2 linked regions of the Mus musculus genome follow. The protein of the gene in region 1 purifies or fractionates together with the protein of each later gene. This does not show direct contact. Links are inferred from orthologs where the notes say so. Each region holds a gene or a part of one and is shown on either strand. Other genes may lie near its edges.

The links. Proteins that work in one complex are often made in the same cells at the same time.
Region 2: the proteins of S100a4 (region 1) and Ppfibp1 purify together in Homo sapiens (co-immunoprecipitation; 3 studies listed by BioGRID and IntAct, with this or other methods). This does not show direct contact. The link is inferred for Mus musculus from reciprocal best matches to the Homo sapiens genes S100A4 and PPFIBP1.

What each region holds. Positions count from the first base shown.
Region 1 is NC_000069.6:90,602,528-90,606,545, reverse strand, and holds S100a4 (protein S100-A4), read right to left. Parts: upstream 2,777-4,018; 5' UTR 2,740-2,776; intron 1,916-2,739; exon of another isoform or gene 1,788-1,915; intron 1,550-1,787; 5' UTR 1,535-1,549; coding exon 1,394-1,534; intron 807-1,393; coding exon 642-806; 3' UTR 501-641; downstream 1-500. UniProt on the Homo sapiens protein: Calcium-binding protein that plays a role in various cellular processes including motility, angiogenesis, cell differentiation, apoptosis, and autophagy.
Region 2 is NC_000072.6:147,017,494-147,020,993, reverse strand, and holds part of Ppfibp1 (liprin-beta-1), read right to left. Parts: intron 1,961-3,500; coding exon 1,813-1,960; intron 1,535-1,812; coding exon 1,406-1,534; intron 1-1,405. UniProt on the Homo sapiens protein: May regulate the disassembly of focal adhesions. Did not bind receptor-like tyrosine phosphatases type 2A.

The DNA of each region.
Region 1 (4,018 bases):
TGGCCTATAAATGTCAGGGCTGAGTGCCAGTCCACCTCTCCATTCTTCTCTGGCTTCAAGACTCCTTCCTCATGACTCAGGCAGGCCTGTTGTCTTCTCTCCAGACCCCAACCAGCAGCAGATGTGACCTTTAATCCCATCCCAACTTCAGTTTGAGCCCAGAGGCAGTGCTGGAGAGAGGAGGGAGAACTGTGGGCTGGCTAACAGCACACATCTGGAGCCTTTCAAGCTAAGCCTCTGGTGGTTTCTGCCTTTAGTGTTCCCGGAGTTTGCTCTGTTGCATATATAGGAGCACGTAAACACACACAAACACACACGCACGCACACATGCACGCATGCATAAGCACGCACACACAAATACATACTTGCAATGTACTCAAAATAAGCCACCCACCCCTCCCCAACCTTTTTTAGTTTGGCCCCCACAAAGCTCCAGGTCAACTTCCAGCAGTCTCTACCACAGCCCTCAGCCCATAGCCTCCAGTCTCTCAGACAACAGCTAATAGTTTCAAAACCTTTTATTGAATTTGCTCAGCACTGTGCACATGTGCGAAGAAGCCAGAGTAAGGCACTATGCTCACAGCCAACAGGGAAGATCCCCCACTGGCAAACTACACCCCAACACTTCATCTGAGGAGTCTTCACTTCTTCCGGGGCTCCTTATCTGGGCAGCCCTCAAAGAATTCATTGCACATCATGGCAATGCAGGACAGGAAGACACAGTACTCCTGGAAGTCAACTTCATTGTCCCTGTTGCTGTCCAAGTTGCTCATCACCTTCTGGAATGCAGCTTCATCTGTCCTTTTCTGGCAGTAGAAGAGGAGCAATTAGAAGCCAACTCAAACCAGATATTTGCCTCCAGTCAGGAGCTCAGGAAGGTTTGCAAGCACTCCTTGCTAGCCTCGGGGCTAAACTATGGGATGAACACATGGGATAGCTGGGAAAGGATGTGACCACATCTTCCCCGTGCTTGTTTTAATTATCTTAATAGGAAACTGTCATAATAGTGATCCGTTAACTAATATAAGGTGTTATTGAGAGGATAATCTGCAGGCATTTGTGTGCCTCCACGATCATGTCTTCACAAATAAAAACTCGATTTCTAGTGCCCATCTCCGGAAAGACAGCCCTGATCTAGGCTGTGGTTTCAGACACTGACTGCCTAATGTGGTTGTTTTGGTTTTCCTCTGCCTCTTCAGTTATCTTCATCCTAAGCCTGTCTCAGCTGGGGGCTAGTGTGAAGTAGGTGGTTCATTGTGGTTCCGTACCAAGCACCCAGAGCAGGGATATATGCCAGCTATAGCTAAGTACTGCATCAAGACTAGTGCCTACCAGCCCCAGCCTCCTCCTGCAGATGCATCACGTGTGCAATACACAGGCAGGACCCACTTACCCCCAGGAAGCTAGGCAGCTCCCTGGTCAGTAGCTCCTTGAGCTCTGTCTTGTTCAGCTTGAACTTGTCACCCTCTTTGCCTGAGTATTTGTGGAAGGTGGACACAATTACATCCAGGGCCTCCTCCAAGGGTCTTGCCATGGTAACCGTTGAGACCTAAGGGCAGGAGACACAAAAGTAACATTCTCCAACCCACGCCAACAGTGTGTTGAGAACTGGATATGTGTTGCTGAGCATGACCCAAATCACACTCATTCTGTCCCCATTTTAAGTGCTCTATCCCAGCCAACTCTCTAAGAGATGGACCTCACCCCCTGGGGAGATCAGAGGAATGGGACCCATTGATGGCAAGAAGGTCACATGTGCTCTGGGCTCTGAAACCTGCAAAGCCTACCCCTCAAACTCTGGAGATCCATGCCAGCACCTTTCTGTGCCTCTCAGTCCTGGCCTCAACAACAGCAGTTTTCCATCAGCTTACTCACTCCCACAGCTCAACCACAAGCACCAGGCCCTGGCCCATTCTTCTCCCTCCCAGCGTTGGGCGCGGCTGCTGGCTGCCTGCCCAGAGGCAGACAAAAAAAAGTGGAAAAACCCCAGCTGCCTAATAGGAGTAAGATGAAGTGGCAGAGGTAGGGATGCAAGAGGAGAGGGTGGGGAAGCCAGGCTTTCTTGGCCTAGGTGCTATATGTTCATAGGGCTATTAAAAATAAGACACACTACAAACACGAATGCCTGCAGGAGGGTGCTGGAGAGATAGCTCAGTGGGTAGAGGTGCTTGCCACCAAGCTCCAGGGCCTGAGTTTGATCCCCACAGCCCACATGCTAGAAGGAACAGATTGACTCCCACACAAATTGTCCTTTGGCTCCCACAATGTCGCCTTGGCATTTGCTCCAGCCCAACCCATACGCTCATACACACAAATAAAAACTGTAATTTAAATACTGTAAAACAAAAAGGCCTACTGATGCCTTCGCTTTGCTTCCTGTACCCGAGTGTCCACACACTGTCTTGTATTACCCAGCAACACGAGTCAGCATCCTATGCATGACAGTGACTCCCAAGCACCACCAATATACACTATAGCAACATGCAAGCCAGCCTCAGTATCTCAAAACCTCCGGGAGCTCAGATGTAGCCATTTATACACTTTTTTTTTTTTTTTTTTTTTTTTTGGTTTTCATTCTCGTGAAAAACACACACACACACACACATACATGAACCTCCACATCAGAATCTCTCATCTGGATTTATTAAAGACATCTGTTCCCCCAGCAGCCCCCCTTTCTTCTACCCTAGCCTCAGCCTCTAATGCCGCTAGCAGTGCTATCAGACCAACACAACTCACCAGACCAAGAGAGAGGAAGTGCTGAATAGAGAGGTTTGGGGAGAGCCCAACAATCTGACCTATTTATACCCTGCCAGGCCCTGCCCATGCAGAGGATGGGGGAACATGGATACTGTGCTCTTGCTGTTGGTTGATGTAGTAAATGTCATAGCACCCTCGACCAGCCCAGTCTGGGAACCAGGCTTCCTGCTCCCTCCCCAGCAGGCACAATCAAGTAGTGAGTGAGCTCCAGTGGGCACGGCAGAGACTTGGATGGGGTGGACACCACCAAGCAGCCACAGCTCAGCCAGAAGTTTAGGAAGCTTTGAGAACGGGCAACCTGGACATGAGGTGTGGGCCACAGGAAAGGAGATGGAGATGTTATGGGCAAGGGATAAGGAGCTGCCCTGGAAATATGTGGCCCAGGAACGAAGGAGGTGACCCCAGCCAGTGGGACAATGTCAGCACTTCCCTCCAGCCTAAACAGCTTCTTGTCACAATCAGGAAGACCCAGGATAGAGGCTAGCAAGTCAGGAGGGACCTTGGGACCACCCCAGGTATGAAGTAGGAGCTATACCTAGGAGGCCATGATGGAGTTAGGGTGGCAGTGTGGCCTGGAGGTTTTCGAATGGATGGAAGCTGGAGTAAGGATATTGAGGAATGACAGGAGCATTCGGGGTTGAATGTTCAGCTTGAAGAAGAGAGTTAAAGAGGAAATAGGTAAAAGGGGGAGTCAGGATTAATCTCTAAGGATAGGGTACAAATTCGGGGATTGAGTGAAGGTTAGATGGAGGTTTGGCTTTGGGCTCCCACAACCATACTCTCCTTGCAGCATCTGGTCAGAAGTACCTCCCAAGGAGCCCCTTGTCCTCCTTGAAAGTCCAAGATAAGGACTTCTATCTCAAGACAGGGGACAGAGAGAGACAGAGACCCTCCAGTCTCATCTGATAGGACACGTGTTACCCCTACCCTCCTGAAATGTGTGCATTTCTACAGGGCCTGACACCGCTTTGGGGGTCCATGCCTTCCATGGTAAGCCTCCTACCTCCAGTAGTAAGGAGCATAAAGGAACAAGGACTCGGTCCCAAGGCCCAGTGTGTCCCATCAGAAAAAAACAAAAGTAAGCCAAGAAGACATTTCTTTATTGGGAGTTGAGGAGGCCCCTGCCACAGCGGTCCCAGTTGTGTGCACATGGCTGAGCAGAGATGTTCTTCCCTTCCAAGAAGAGAAGCGGCAAAGGCTGGCTACTGTCCCACCCCTCACAAGCTAGACATCCCTAGGAAAGCCTCGAAAGCTCATG
Region 2 (3,500 bases), on another chromosome or scaffold:
TCCCAGGAGATCTACTGCAGCCAGGGCAACAGATCAGCATCTTCTCTGCCTCTGTGAAGAGCCCCCAGTTGGAAGGCCCCACAGGTGGTCTGCTACAGCCAAGGCTGCTGGCCTACCAGGAGACCTAAAGCAACCCAGTTAACTTACATAACTATGTAAGTTATGTTTTCCACATTCAAAAAAAAACTATCCCAAGAGCTGACTCCCAAACTGAAAATACTGCTTGGCAGAAAGAAATTCAAGCGCACTATGAACTCATTTCAGCAGAATTATGGTTTCTCTCTAGCAGAGAATCACTGAGGAGATAATGTGCCCCTGCTAAGTACAGGAAGGAACACTCCAAGTGAAGTTTCTATTTTCTTTTTCTTACACAGCTTTGCTGCTTGAAAAAATTTTCAAAGTGACATGGCTAAGTTTTTAAAAAATATTAATTTACATTGTGTGTGCATGACAAAAACTTTTTTTTAATAGCACAAGGGAGTTCTTTATTGTACTTAAGGAGACATATGGCAAGTGGGAACATCTGTTATCTGAAGGCCAAAGGGAACTTCTTGATGAAACCCATGTCCAGGGCTCCACCTGTGTGGGAGTCTGTGTTCCCAGCTGATTACTCTTTAAAAGGCTCTGCATTCAACACCTTGTTCTGTAAGTTTGCCAACCCCGCCCTCTTATGCTCAGGAGGTCAGTATGGTTAGCTCCAAACCCACCTAGGTTTTAATAAAGCACAAGGAAAGTTCTTGGACTCCTAGTGAGTGAAACATAGCTTTTTTCCCCAACTAGTATGACAAGGCTTTTATTAATTCGGTCGAACAATGTATGGTCTTGATAAGCTCAGGAATTCTGATACAATGTGTCTTTATGCACTTTCAAAGGCTCTATCAAATTGCTAATGTCTATTGATCAGTTGTTACTAGACAGATATCAACTCAGTCCTCACAATCACCTTTAAGGATAGGTGCTAGGTCCCTCTGTGGTGAGAGGAAAGTGAATCAGAGCATGAAGGCATAGCTCAAGGTCACCTGCCTGGTGGACACGAGTTTGGAGAGCAAGAAGTCTGACTCCAGAGCATAGTTTTTACCTTCTCCCCTTCCACTTCTCAGTGCTGGAGTTGGTACCAGGACCCCATGTTTGCCACACTAGGTCTCTGCTATTATGCCACAAGCCCAGCCCCTAGAACCATCTCCTGACCACTCGGCTGCCCCACCTTTACAAGACTATGCCTTCTGAGACTTCCCACATAATTGTACCTACATCAACATTCAGCCCCAGAACCATCCTGACACCTTACATGTTCACACTGCTCTCACCCACACAGCTGTCACCAACTACTGACAAGCAGAGTCACTTTCCCAGACAGAGCAGTAAGTCGGACTTCAGCCAATAGTGACATCACAGGTATACTTACCTGTTGGACTGTCCTAAATCTCGAGACCAACCAAGCCTGGGTCCTGCAGTTGCCCTTGTCCCTCCTCTTTTGAATTCAGGCTCAGACATGTCATCTGGGTTGAATGTAGTTGACTGACTTCTTCTAAGTCTAAGGACACAACGCACATGGTCATACGTTAGACCTGAGGAGGCTTCTGACTTGGTGGTTAATCATAAGGTTTTTGTTTGTTTGTTTTTGTATGTCATTAGTCCAGATATTTGAATTTAAATATTAACCAAGGCCCAATGAGTATATGCATCCCATTATCAGTCTTTCTTTCAAAAAGCCTTGGGATTTGGTACCCACGCCCAGGCAAACTTCCCATTGTCCTCTGCACCTGAACAGCACACAAGTCAGGTCCTCCACCTGCCCTTCCTTCCACTTACTTCCCAAAGAGTCTCATGATGCCTCTGGATTTCTTTCTGGAATCTGGAGATGGTGGAGACATTGGGAATGGACTGGTTCCCTGGGAACCTTTTGACCGAGATGTACCAGCCAAATTCAGGTGCTCAGCTGTCTCTTTTTCTGTCTCAGCTGTCCCAAGGATAGAATAAGACCACGTGAGTACAAATAATATATAAACCTTCTTGCTTTTAGCAACTTAAGAATTCTCCTTTCGGGTAAGAGCACTGACTGCTCTTCCAAAGGTCCTGAGTTCAAATCCCAGAAACCACATGGTGGCTCACAACCACCCGTAATGAGCTCTGACACCCTCTTCTGATGTGTCTGAAGACAGCTACAGTGTACTTATGTATAATAATAAATCTTAAAAAAAAAAAAGATTTCCCCTTTGCGTCTATAAATCAGTGACTTCCAGAAAGTTCCCTGAAGTACAAAAATGTAAGTGTATGTCCCCTAAGCTTACTCTCCTGCATAAAGTAAATTAGCTTAAAATTGGCCTCTGAGGTTAAGTGTGTGACAGAGCTGTGTGTGGTGGAACACACCTGTAAATCCCCGGCCTGGAGGCCGGCACAGGAGGAGCGATTCTGAGACAAGCTTGGGCTACAAAGTGAGACTCATTTCTTCCTCTAACATCTTTCGCCATGACTTGCTCCTAGATCTGTGGCCTGGTTGTCTCTTCTTTGCTGTAGCCCCTAGTTTCTATCCTTCCCACAGTGCACCCCAAGACTCTGCTTAGGCCCTCAGCAAGCTCGCCTGCTCTAAGCTCAGCCCTGAAAGATGGCTCTACTTTCACAGGCAGATGGCATCAGAACTACTGAGCCTCACTTCACTCTCGAGTCCCACACCTGAAGTCTGCAGAGGCCCAATTTAATGGGTCAAGTGGGACATATTAAAACTACCCAGTTCCCCTGAACATATTCTCTCACATTTTATTCGAGGTCAAATTAAGATTCTATATCATTTTGTTCTTAACTCTCCTTCTCCTTTGCCATTTAGATCACACGGTTACAGAGGACTAGCAATTCTTTTCAAAGAATGAGTCACCAGGCGTGGTGGTGCACACTCATAATCCCAGCACCCAAAAGGCTCAAGGCCAGACCAGGCTGAGATCCTAACTCAAGGGGTGAGGGGGAGACCAACTCAGCCTATTATGTATTAGACACTGGAAAAAGAGTGGCCAGGTATGTGTGAGATTTTCTTTAGATATAAAGTCAGTCGTTTTGATTTGGCATGGAAAGAGCAGCATCCACACTTGCCACTGCAGACTTCCACAGATGCATCATATAAGTTCTTTCAACTGTCCATCCCTGGAGAACAGCCACAACCAAAGACAGGGCTGGTGTTTTCCAAAATGTGAAACTTTACATATTACAAAGGAAAATAACACTTGTTCAAAAAAAAAATTCAGGGGAAGAGACCCAGAAGGATTTGCAGAAGTTGCAGAAGTTGAGTTTTCTATGAAGCAGAGCTGTGATTACGGGTTATGATAAGCAGCACTGGCCTACAAGCATCAAGTACTGCCGTAGAAGGACACAGGAGTAGCTGGAAATAGTTGTCCAACTGGAAGAGTGTAATTTATCTTAATTTATTTAAGATGACAGAGCCTCAGAGAAACCCAGGGGGGTCGATCCATTCTCACTCCACAGCCACAATGGGTATAGGTGCCCTGAAA